2 linked regions of the Neodiprion lecontei genome follow. The main gene of each other region encodes a partner of the protein of the gene in region 2 in a complex. Links are inferred from orthologs where the notes say so. Each region holds a gene or a part of one and is shown on either strand. Other genes may lie near its edges.

What was found. The genes of interacting proteins can lie anywhere in the genome.
Region 1: BUD13 homolog (region 2) and FHA domain-containing protein DDL share a complex: the UniProt entries of both Homo sapiens proteins name them as parts of the minor spliceosome. The link is inferred for Neodiprion lecontei from reciprocal best matches to the Homo sapiens genes BUD13 and SNIP1.

Annotation. Positions count from the first base shown.
Region 1 is NC_060266.1:20,093,429-20,099,147, reverse strand, and holds FHA domain-containing protein DDL, read left to right. Parts: upstream 1-2,266; 5' UTR 2,267-2,351; intron 2,352-2,578; exon of another isoform or gene 2,579-2,742; intron 2,743-3,082; 5' UTR 3,083-3,095; coding exon 3,096-4,346; intron 4,347-4,744; coding exon 4,745-4,750; 3' UTR 4,751-5,140; downstream 5,141-5,719. UniProt on the Homo sapiens protein: Required for pre-mRNA splicing as component of the spliceosome. As a component of the minor spliceosome, involved in the splicing of U12-type introns in pre-mRNAs. Down-regulates NF-kappa-B signaling by competing with RELA for CREBBP/EP300 binding.
Region 2 is NC_060263.1:19,782,748-19,790,075, reverse strand, and holds BUD13 homolog, read left to right. Parts: upstream 1-1,698; 5' UTR 1,699-2,010; coding exon 2,011-2,105; intron 2,106-2,249; coding exon 2,250-3,552; intron 3,553-3,683; coding exon 3,684-3,838; intron 3,839-5,652; coding exon 5,653-5,837; intron 5,838-5,925; coding exon 5,926-6,098; 3' UTR 6,099-6,336; downstream 6,337-7,328. Other genes in the region: prostatic acid phosphatase, read left to right, coding at 1-163, 883-1,007. UniProt on the Homo sapiens protein: Involved in pre-mRNA splicing as component of the activated spliceosome. As a component of the minor spliceosome, involved in the splicing of U12-type introns in pre-mRNAs.

The DNA.
Region 1 (5,719 bases), on a different chromosome or scaffold from region 2:
CAGCTTTCAGTAATACGACTTTTTAAAAACGTGACGAAAAACAGCTGATAAGAATTTATTTTACTTTCTGTATAATATTGACGTAATTATCACACCATATTTTTCTTCTCAATTGTTAAAATCCTAAATAACGATTATTGTCAATTCGTAGTTTTCCAAGGCGCTAGAAAATATGGGAAAAAATCTCCTTCTCACAGGGAAAATTTTGAAATGTTCAAAATTACATAAATGACATAATTGAAAAATCAACGGTTGCTTCTCTATAATAAGTTGAAGCGAGGATAGTTAGACGTTGCACTGTTGCACATTTATTTAATTTCAGTTGATAATATCGAAGAGGTTGTTCAAAAAAAGATACGTGATTTGTAGTCACCTAAAATAAAAAGAGTACCGAAAACGATAATCGAAGGTAGTATAGCAAGAAGATAACCCGAGAATTTCCTTGCGCGTATCTATAATTTAACATGCAGATCACTTTGTCACAAACCATAGTCATCCTTATCGTAAGAAAATTTTTTTTTCATTTAATATTTAGTGTCACAAGTGCGCGTCGTAGATTTTTATTATCGTCAAGTGAAAAACGTGTCGGCGCAAAAAGTAGAAACACGAAGCTTTAGAATTTGATACACGTGACAAAAAAAAAGTTGATGATCGATTGCAAAATCTTCGGAAAGTTTGGAGTCTCGTGTGCAAAATAATTCAATAATTGATGAAATTTAAAACTTTGAAAAATATCGAAAAACTTGACTACCAGGAGTTTAGATGTGCATATATGTATATGATTTTAGTAATGGGTGAAGCAAGGTGGAAAACTATAGCCCAAAATTTGCAAAGAAATTAAAATTATTTAATTCACTTAACAGCAACATTCGTCAAATCCCAGAATCAACTTTGTTCGAATAACAATTTCATACTCAACGGTGATCGATATCAATTTAAACTAGTTTTGCCATTTCATACGAATTCTTTAGTCATGAATTTATTCATTTTTATATTTATTTATTCATAAATTTATAAATTTTGCAGGATAAAAGTCGTTTTTACGTAGATCAGTACAAATTGGCGTTGATAGGTAATTAGCCAGTGCTTACTTGAATTTAGAATTGAAGTATCAACTCTGAATTGTTTTTTATCACTTATTGTACTCCAAGAAATTGATGTCGGAATTATTTTTAATTTTCAGAATTATTTTTTACTTTTTTATTCGAAAAATTTTATTGGTAATCTGTTTAAATTCCCTTGATTCGAAACATTGAATAAAGTAGCAGTTGTTTATTTTGAAAATTAGAAAAACTTAACTGAGAATTAATTCTTCCCCTTCGACGAGCAAATTCGTATCATTATACAATTACGTTCAATATTTAAATTAAAAAACTCAAATCAGGAATTTTTCGGAAAATTTTTATTCTATCACCGCAATTAAAAATTAACGCTGTTAATCGTAATTTTTAGTTTGAAACTGAAGAATAGCCCGACACTGTTACTTTGTATTACGTAATTGTGTAAAAAATGTGCAGGCAGCGGGTTGCAAGACGATGCGTTCGCCGGGTGCCAAATACCTTATTTGAAACCATCCGTATACAATTGATAACGATTTGATTACAAATAATCCGGAAAATCCATCTCGGGACACTCGGCCGAAATTCCGAGAGGGGACGCTGTAACGAATAGCGAATAAGATATTCCAGGCTTTTTGTTTCTTTTGTCTTTCGGTTCCGAGCAATTATTGCTGGTAGCGTTGAAGCGTCCAGGTTTCGAATTGAGAGTTGCGCGCTTGAGGTTTGTAAAACATGTTCATCCTTTGGTTAACTTCTTCGGCTATTTCTCCTATCGTTTGCATCAACGAAAGATTTCCAACTCTGTTAACAGTAAACCAAGTGTATGTTTATTGTGCATCTATTTAGATAACACAATTTTTGTCGATCCGATGGAGTTACATTAGCATTGCTGAATTTGGTTCGGAGTGATCTTGCATAGTTGAAACGTATACGGCGTCGTCACGGGGTTGTATGAAAATTTCAGTCTGTTCCGGTTCGTCTTTTCCATAGGCATAATAATATTCATTCGACTCTGAAAAATCTGGATATACGCGGTAAACGATGGTAACGTCAGTTCTCGTCGTCTTTACGTACCGACCATTTGTCGGATTGGGTTGCGTGTGCAAGAAAGGCCGCAGAGAGCGCCACGTGACGATCAATTTATCACGTACACATTTCATTACGAAAAGTCTCATAAGGCTTTCAGTCTTTACGTGTCCCTCAGTCAACGTCTGTTGACGAACAGAGTTGCATCGGTTCGTGCTGTACAACTTGGGGAAGAAGTCACCAGAAGTCAAGGATACTTTGAACAAGGTAAGTTGTAAACATATTAGGAATAATTATTACCGTGCCTCAATTTTTCTTTCTGGTGCAAGTGAATCGTACACCAAAGACAAACTTTCTCGCGAGCAACAGTTTATTGTCATTTTTCCTTTTATTATTTGTACCGTAATTTGAATTATTCTACTCCAATCGTCCGGTCTAGGGACTATTCTTGGCCGGCCGGTGGCATCCCTGCTATTTACGAGACAATCCGACAAATGGCGGAAACGACGGATCTTGGTCGGTGTTTGACAATTTGAAACGTCGTACTTTTTGCTCGGATTTTTAGCGTCGCGAATGAATCGAAATATCAGAAATTCAGTAGCGATCTTAACATTAATCGCAGATGCCTACATTTAGTGAAACCCACTAGCCATATTTTGTAAGTATTTTACTTTTGATAATCCACTGGGTTATAAAATTTTTCGGATGCTTTCGCCTTCAGTCAACTCGTGTACATAACCTCAAACAACAAATGTTGGTGTGTGTTGAGTGGGAAAATTATTAGTGGCAATCAAGGAGACTTGATTGAATTGACGTCACTTATTGCATCCTCCCTACACGCAATTTGGCGTATTTCCAGAGCTGCGAGATTATTTTTAACATTCCGAATAATCTTAACGCCAGAATAAAATTCAATACGGCAACCCAGCGCATACTATCGGATGCCTTAACCTCTAAAATTATTTGTTCGATTCCATGTCTATGGTTTAATTCAACAGGAAAATCTGGATAATGGGGCGAACGAAAAGGGAACGCAAGGCTAGCAGTTCAGAGAACGAGTCTGATAGTTCCAAGGACGAAGGTTCGTCGAATTCAAGTGATGCCAAAGAACAAGCACCGCCTTCGCCGAAGCAGCGCAAGAGGCAGATGGAGAAAGAAGAACGTGTAAGGCCAAAGGAAATGCGCCAGGACAGAAACGTAGAAAGATCAAGATGGGAAAGCCCGGACGGAAGGAAGCGGAAGCACAGTCCTCAGTCTCAGAACCAACGGTACCCGGCGTCACGCGACGACAGAAGAAAGGGTCACAGAGAGCGCCAGGACGGCGGAGAGGCCAGAACCAAGTGGGAGAAAAAGGAGAGAGATAGAGATATAGACAGAGATTTGGAAAAGCGAAGGAAGGAGGATAACCGCAGCCAAAATGAATCTGACAACCAGCGGAGGCGGGAACGAGATGCTCCGGAAAGGTCGAACAGAAACTACAACGGTGAAAATCGACCCGTCGATAGGTTTGACGGCAGAAGGCAGAACGAAAGGAAGTCCCCTCGGCGAGACGAGAGGAACAGGGGGTTTGAAGAGCGAGAACGAGGTAGACATAACAGCGGTAGAGGTGGCAGGCGAGGGGGTAGAGGAAACAGATTCGGGGATGGCGATGGGCCGAGAAGCAGTTTCGACGGCTCCAGAGTAAAGGGTGAGCCGTCGCCGGAATGGGGAAAAGCGGATATGAAAAAGGAGAACAATGGGAAGCCAATTGAGAAGGAGAAGCCAAATTTCGAGCCTTCTGGAAAGTTGACGGAAGACGCAAATACTGTGAACGGTGTGGTGATAAAATACACAGAACCAATGGAGGCGCGAAAGCCGAAGCGCCGTTGGAGACTCTATCCCTTCAAGGGTGAGAAGGCGTTGCCCACCCTCTACGTCCATAGGCAGTCTGCTTACCTGATGGGCAGGGATCGCAAGGTTGCGGATATTCCTCTGGACCATCCGTCTTGCTCCAAACAGCATGCCGCTCTGCAGTTTAGGCTTGTCTCATTCCAGAGGGAAGATGGTGGCGAAGGAAAGAGGGTCAGACCGTATTTGATAGACCTAGAATCTGCCAACGGCACTCATGTTAATGACATCAAACTCGAGCCTAAAAGGTATCACGAGCTCTTGGAGAGGGATGTTCTGCGCTTTGGATTCAGCTCTCGGGAATACGTTCTTCTGCACGAACAGAGTAAGGATGATGCTCTGGATGATGACGTCCCATTTACATCTGCTGTTCCGGTGAGAAATTATTAATGACTTTTGTTCTTTCGTCTTTCTACTTGATGTCAAGTTTCCGTACAGTTGTAATTTACCTTTCATACTTTGACAGCGATAAAACGATATAATCTCAAAATTTTACGAAACAAGACATAAAACCAGGCAACTAATGAATAATAAATCTTGGATTTAAATTTCTCTTTGCTCCAAAACTGTCAAAGATTTGTCATCAGAAGGATACTTTTAACCGAGCAGTTTTTCTGTTATATTGCAATAATCCACAGCGCACTGTATATTTTGTTGTTGGCTCTACATATTTACCATAGAATTCAGTAAAATTCCCCAAAGAAATTTGCGGGCTCAAATTAGTTGATGAGAATGTAGTTTCCTTAATTTTATTTCATCATTTTTGTTTGCAGAAATGAGCTTAACGGGCTTACTGAGCATACGCGGTGCTCGAAGAGGTGGAATGTCAATGTAGAACGATGATATTGCAATTTTATGGAACGCAGGTGTATCGCTAGATTGCATCGGTAGTTTGTTGGCAACGAGCGCTGGAAGAGTGTTTTGAAGTTTTAGAAAGATTAAATGTAAATCAATAGATCTTGATGAAATATTTTATAGATATTTTAAGATCAAGGAATCGAGAAATTTGGATTGTTATTTCTTCAGAATTGTTTACTTTATTGTCAATCCTGATTCACAAACTTTGTAATGTTCTATCCGGTAAGACATGGCGTACAAAATTGAATCTGTACACTACCAATGTGAAAAATAAAACAATCGCATAAATTAAAAATATAAAATGTCATGAATCTGTGTTACCTCTTCATTTCACTGTCGGTTATTTTATTTATTTACATCGTTACTTCCTACGTTACGCATTAGGACGTAGACGGATAGTGGCCAAGTATCAGATACGTTGGGGTAATTTTGGTCACCATTTTCGGCCCACGAATCTTTGGATATTTATTACTTAAACAATATACGAGCAATTTTTCACTGACGCAAAGTAATATTTACAAAAGTAATTACATCATTCAATTATAATCGTTTATATTCCATGTAATGATTCCTTCTTTCATTTTTTATACAATATAATAAAATTAGTATCAAATGATCAAGGAACAATACAAATGTTACGTATGCAAAATGACATTTGAAATGGAAATGAAGAAAAATAACTACAATAAGACATGAAATGATTATTTTAAGCGAACTCGTTTTCAAGTTTATTCAAGTTGACTGGAAGATGCTTAATACTTGAGCATGTGTGTGAAAATGTGGTGTAAGTTGATGGATGAAAATCTAATGATGACATACTAGAAAAACATTTAAAAATATAATTATTTACAATTTGATTCACGCTAGCTTATATTTATTCATTTATCTTA
Region 2 (7,328 bases):
TCCGCTGAACCGAGGCTGTTAACTTTGCCAGGCTGTGAGGTCGCGTGTCCATTAGGGAAATTTGTAGAATTAACTAACGACATGATACCAAAAGATTGGGCAAAAGAATGTCTTCTAGGCTGGGAACAATACGCACACAACATTACCATGCCATCTATATTTGGTAAGATAAATCTTGTTTAGTTAGAATCCCTCAGTTTATGTGAGATTAAAAACGTTCATAAGGTTTAAAGAAATTTTGGAAGCAACTTCTTACGGTACTTCTCTGTATGGAGAGTGCATCCATGAAAGCGTCACATGCTGAGCGTAATGCCAGACTTCCCATTATTGCAGTGATAGTATACCTATTTATACTCTGACTTGCGTGTTAATAGTATATCACTGCACAGTGTTACTATAGCTTTCTTATAGTGGACTCAACATACGACTTGCCTATATTACTGTTGCGGCAACATAAGACACAACTATATTTTTTTCTAGTGTTTTGAATAATTAACTAAAAGTTGTTTAAAGTTCAACAGACCATGATTGCGAAAAAGTTAATAAACGAGTCTACATAGTTATCTGTAAAGAATTAACAAGTACATGTAAATGCAATTGATTTGACCTAATCTTTGTAAATAATTTCGAGAAATATTCAATGTATATACATTAGTAACATAGATATTGAATTTCGTATGAACAATTTCTTTATGATTTTAATTCACCAATAGTATTCATATATCAATTTAACTTTAACTTACATTCCACTTGAAATATTTCATTACAAAAATGTTTGAGAAGTTCCTTTCCCGTGACGGCTGTACCCCCTTTAGTTTTTATTGACAATTCATACTGCATCTTCTCATTTCTAATTTCTTACTCTATTGGTTTCTATTTCAGGTATTTCAATATTGTTGCTGGTCATCATCATATTACTAGGTTTGTTAATCATCGGCGTTGTCTACTATCACCGCAACTGTGATAGTAACCGTTATTACTTTAAGTTGACGACAGATCCTATTTAATTTAATAATAAAATCCGACTTATGATTATTGCGGATACTAACACGGGCATTGGAATAATTTAGTATTATAAAAAGAAAATTTTCCAGTGTGAAGTTCGTCCCTTATTTTTATTGATCGTTGAACACACGCTCAACTTTATTCACAGGATCAGCACAAAAGTCACCTGATATGACGCGGTCATTTTGTACTCGAAATTTTTCATGATAGTGCAATTTGAGTAAGTTAGGTGTTATGGGTTAATTCAACTTTCAACTTTGCTGTAAAAAACAAATTCTATTTACATTATAATAAATATAAAACAGAGACGACAAAATTAAGATTTAGTGACACAAAGTGGTATTGTATAAATGATTTTAAAAAAATTAGTCGTGTATTTCAGAAAGACAGAATCCTCATTTTCTACCTTTCTCAAAGACACGCGCAAGCAACGCTGCGTAACTACGGCGAGCGTTCATTGCAGCACTTCCAATACGGTTACGCAGTGCGGTTACACCGCGTGCTATGGCAAAGGGCAGCCCCCTGGCACCACTGCTCGTATACTAAAAAATTGTACGCGTTTTGTCCCCGTTTTTTTAGTTCCTCTAAGTGGCGCTAGTAGACTTCTGACACGCTCGCTGACCGCGCGCAAGCCTGTCAGACAACTACTAGCGCCACTAGTGGTGGAGGTTGGCGGCAGAATCGAGGGACATTTTGCGAACCACTTTTGCAGCGTGTGTCAGGGGGCTGGCAAAGGGATATGAGTGCCCAGTATGGAGGGTAAAGCTAATATGCGTGAGCTCCGGCAAACGCATGCGGAAGGCGACTCGTACGATGCGTACTAAGTAGGCCGCTCCCTCACTAGCGCTAGCGGCGAAAATTCACAACATCGGCTTCATTTTCGAGCACGGTTTTACAGCCGGAGTACCCAGACCTGTCTATAAGACCGTGGTATGAACCTAGGTATGAATAAGTATAGATGAAAACAAACTGTAAGGTTATGCGCACACAACGTTGGATAAGAAAATGATAAGTCAGAAAGAGTATTTGAAGAAATACCTGTCATCCGACAAGGACAAAAAGAAGATTAAAAAAAAGAAACCCAAAATCGGGTCCAAAACGTAAGTGTTATCTTGTACGACTGTTTGATCGAGCAATAATACGATTTTTATTAGGTTAGATCGCAATGACCCTGGAATACAATTCCCACGATTTTAAAATCTGCAGCGCAATAATATCCATTAATTTTGCTTTATTTCCTCCAGTGTTAAAATTATTGACGATGACATTGATCTTAAAAATATGAGAGCAATAGAAGATGGGGAATTCGACATTTACAACAACACGGAAGACGGACCACAAATCGCTGGTATTGTCGACGAACGCGGTCCAGTTGACTTTTCCGACAAGAAAAGGTGGAAAATTATAACAGACGATATTGATGGAGACATAACTGTAACCAGCATTGACAGAAACGAGAGAATATCTGAGGCGATGAGCCAGTCAAGCAGAATACCTGCTCCTAATTCCAGAAATCGTTCTCCATCTGATGATGGTAAAGGCAGTCCACCTCATAGGCAAAGGAATGATTCCGACCAGAAAGAATCTAGTCGTAAGACACTATCGTCAAAGAAACTGCGTCAACATTCTATTTCTAGTTTGATTGAAAAGCCACCTGCTTCAGAGGACAGTGACTTCAGTCCACCTCGGAGAGTAAAAAAAAACAATGACTTGGAAAAGTTCACTCGACGTAGGAAATCTTTTAAAAAGAAACAAAGCCGAGCAGTTTCCAGCCCTGCAAGAAATTCCTCAGATTCTGAAAACAACGACACTAGTCCACCTAGCAGGACCAGAAAGGATTCTGATTCAGACGAAACTAGGTGCAAGAAATCTTCGAAGAAGAAACGGCGGGTTGAAAATCCTTGCAACTCCGAGGACAGCAAATGCAGCCAACCTCGAATATTCCGGAAGAACTCTGATTTGGATGAATCGATTTGCAGAAAATCATTCAAGAAACGACACAGTGCTTTCTCTTTGAATTTTGAGGATAATGACTTAAGACTGCCTCGGAGGATTAGAAAAGACTCGGACTCTGATCTTAGCCCACCCAGAAATTCAAAGGCTGAAAGAATTGATTGTACTAAACATTCGAAACAACGTGAAAATTCATTGACAAGTTCTCGGCACGACAAGCATTACAATAGAACTTCTAAAGCATCTCCTTCTGTACATTTTGAATCTTTACGTTCTAGAGGAAAAGATGAGTACAAATCAGGGAAACATAGTAATAGGAGTAATTCATCCGAACATGAGAGAAGTAATCGACAATCGAGAAAAGATGGAACAAAATTGAACAGCAGGAGAAGAAAGGAAGGTGATAAAGTTCGGTCAATATCACCTCAGGATAGACGACGAGATGGCAAAAAGGGAGGAACAAATAAGCATTCCAGAAAGGATGAAGATGACTCTGCACCTGATTTGAGTCCACCTAGGGAGACTCGGATGAATCATGAAGATTTGGATTCAGAATCCAAACCATTACAAAAAACTTCTAAAAATTATCAAGAGGTGCCTATTTCTTTGAAATGATTTATCTATTGCATTGCAAATTGCTTTTCTTATTTGATAATTTAATAAATCTATATTAGAATGATTCGAGATCTTTATCATGTGACAAAGGTATCAATTTTTGCTCTCAGATGAGTGAAGAGACAACTGGTTTTGGGCAGGCTCCAATTTTCCGCGATCGTAAAACTGGTAGAAGACGAGACTTCGCGGCAGAAAGACGCGACAAAGAACAGAAGGATGAAAAGCGGAAAGAATTGGAGGATAAATATGCTCAGTGGGGAAGAGGGTATGTTTTTCTATGGATATGTTAACCTCTTTATAGCAGGGCTGGTCGAGTTATCGATAGATCGATATATCGACCAGCAGTCAGGTTAGGGACTCCACGTAAGAAATTGATAGAACTTATTTCTAAATTTCACGTCCAATAAAAGGTTGATTTCAACTTACATTTCTCCGCTGTTAAAAGGTTAATATTACGATCACATCATAATTACCGGGCTACGGGCTACGGGCTACAGGCTACTTATTATTGTTGATCAAGCAAAGATTTGCGTTCAAAAGTTTGTACATTATCTAAGTAAAAATTAAATATTTTCCTTGGAAATGAAGGTCAGTAACAACACCAAAAAATTGTTTCGGTCCAGGTGGGGCCTCCCTCAAAACGATTATATATTTACAGAACCATCTATCACGAGAAAGAAGAATAGGTAACACAGGTGAATTACTTAAAATTAATATCTAACGAGACTTATGAGATTAACAAGGCAACTTCTGCCGATATAATTGAAAAGAAATTACCTAGTAATAACGTGGAATATTTCAATTTTGAAGAACAACACGAAGAAGTCAATATTTAAAAACAAAGTACAATAAAAAAACCAGTGTTAGATTAAAAAACTGCGACACGAAACTCCCAAGCATTCATCATGGTTAATAAAATTAAATTAAACACACAAACGAAATTTTTGAACAAAGATCTATTTTAAAACATGTAGATCCTCCAGCGTGCAGTGGAAATAGAACTAAATCAGTCAGTAGTAAGAAGCATAGACAATGAGACAACGAGTTCAATAAATATAAAAATATGATAAGAAGATGAGATCAAGAGCAAGCTCAGTCGGTAATTAGTGGTTATGGTTGATGTATTACAGAAGTGTAAATAGCGCTGAGATGTTCAATATCTTGTCTTAGATTGACCGCGTTAGGATGTGCAACAATGTTGCACGTTGTTGTTAACCTTTTGTAATAAAAGGGCTCAACATCTAAAATACTAGGTTTAGTACAATTGAAAGCATGATTAAATTCAATCGAGTGTCCAGTCAGACCTGTATAATTATCATCATGCTCATGGATGTTTCATTTATGTTCACTAATTCTTGTATGTAACTGCCTACTTGTTTGTCCTACGTATGACAAATTACATTGGTTGTAAGGAATTTTATAAACGACGCAAGAACGCTTATCCAAGGGTAGCAGATCTTTGCCAGAGTCAAACACAGACGATAAATCGTGTGATAAATTTTTTCTGACAAATTGAATATTATATTTTGAGAAAATTATACTTAAAGACTCGAATAGACCAGAAACATATGAGATAGATGCAAAGTTTTTTTGATTAACAGGTGCAACGGCTACTTCATTATTGTTGTTGGAATCACGAACAGATACAATAGACTTATATTTGTTATGTATATGTTTGTTAAGAAGGGCAGGTGGATAATTATTCTTGCGTAGTACATGATGAATCAAGGAAAGGTTCTTGTTATGAAATTCGATACTAGATAATCTAATCGCTCTATCAACCAAGCAATTGATTGTTCCAATCTTGTATGATCTGCGATGGTGAGAATGAAAATTTAGGTACCTCTGTGACCGGGTGCCTTTGTGGAACCAATCAGTTTTGAAAAGCTGATTGTCATTAATGATAAATACATCCAAAATACTGATTCGACGATTGCATTAATTGAATTTTTTGGTGTTGTTACTGACCTTCATTTCCAAGGAAAATATTTACTGCAACATTACCGAATTTAAGAGACCATTATTCATTATCTAAGTAACTTTCGAACTTTCATTTGATACGTACATTCTTATTCACAGTTTGAAGCAAGTTGAAGACCACAAAGAAAAGCTGGACAGAGATTTGTACGAGATGAGTAAACCCCTGGCAAGGTACGCGGATGATGCGGATTTGGAGCGAGAACTCAAAGCACAGGAAAGAGAAGGGGATCCAATGCTAGCGTACATAAAACGGAAGCAGATAAAAGAAGGAAAACAGGAGCCAGGTATTGAAATAAAAACTTCATAACTGTGCCAAATGCAATTGTATTTTAGATCGCAGTTCAAACACAAGTTTTTAATATGAAATTTCAGAAAAACCCAAATACCAAGGACCCTTTATGCCCAACCGTTTTGGCATTCAACCAGGATATCGTTGGGATGGTGTAGATCGGAGTAACGGTTATGAGAAGAAGTGGTTCGATGCACAAAACGCGAGGAAGGCAGTACAGGAAGAAGCGTATAAATGGAGTACCGCCGACATGTAGTGAATAAATGTACATATATACAATTTTTCCTGGTACGTCAATCAGGTTTGCTGCTTTCAAATTTCATAGGTATGCAACTTGTACTTTGGAACTTGCATCAGGAAATATTAGATTCTGTTCCTTGCGGTGATCATCAATCAGGAATAAATTATGTCGGTTAATATAACTACCATTCATCTTAGGGGCAGATGAAGCTTAAAATTATTGAAAATCAATAAATAAAAAAATACGTCATGTTTTTAATACGTATTCATTCGTTTTACGATTTACGAGTGAATACAAATACAAAGAAATACCGGTCAATTCCTGTGGTTTACCGGTTAGTAAAGAAAGAAATCTGTAGTTCAGTGTGTCGTACTACTATAATCGGTCCTTACCGATCGAGGAAAACGTCACTTATTATCTTCTTGCATCCTGATTTTTACTATTAAGCGCAATTCCAAATGAAATACCGATTGCAGAACAAATTAATTCAAAAACTTTTTGGTTTACTGTGATACTAAAGCTTGGCATTATTATTTCGTAAAATAAAACTTTTTTTGATATTTATATTTCGCAATGCATGTGGAGCTGCGCTGATTGTGATATTTTCATATGGCTGATGCGTAGGCTTTGACGTTCACTGAAGAATATAAAGACGGATACCCCTGGGTGAATTTTTGTGACCAGTTTTCGGCGGGAAAGTAGGCCCAGATGGGCTTGGGAACGTTTCTGTTTTATCAATTCTACCTAACGGGCTCGCACCTACATTCGTAGCAGCCCAAGTAGTGTCAGTATGGAAGCTTGGGATTGAGTCTGTACCACGGTCTTACTTACATACAGGTCTGGCAACGAAGCCAATTTTCTACAGAGCGGCGTGGTTCTCTTGCTGTCCGTGGTTCTTAGTGTTTGAAATAGCCATGTCGCGGCGCTGCTATCTAGAGATGCACTATTATTAGGTCGGCGCTGCATTGCGCACGCATTGATTATCCATCCTTTGATGACAACGCCGACCTGGCGGCCACAAAGTGAGATATAATAGCCGGCCGTGAAATGAACAACCCCCACTACCTTCGTTGTCAGATCTGTATGTAAGACCGTGGTCTGTACAAAGTGAGTACGTAAGACTACTTGTCCTACCACCTCCGAGCACCTCCAAACACCGCCAACTACCTCCGATCACCTTCGTCCTCCTCGTCCACCTCGTCCCCCTTAACCTCCTCATCGTCCTTGTCCTCCTCGACTACCTCC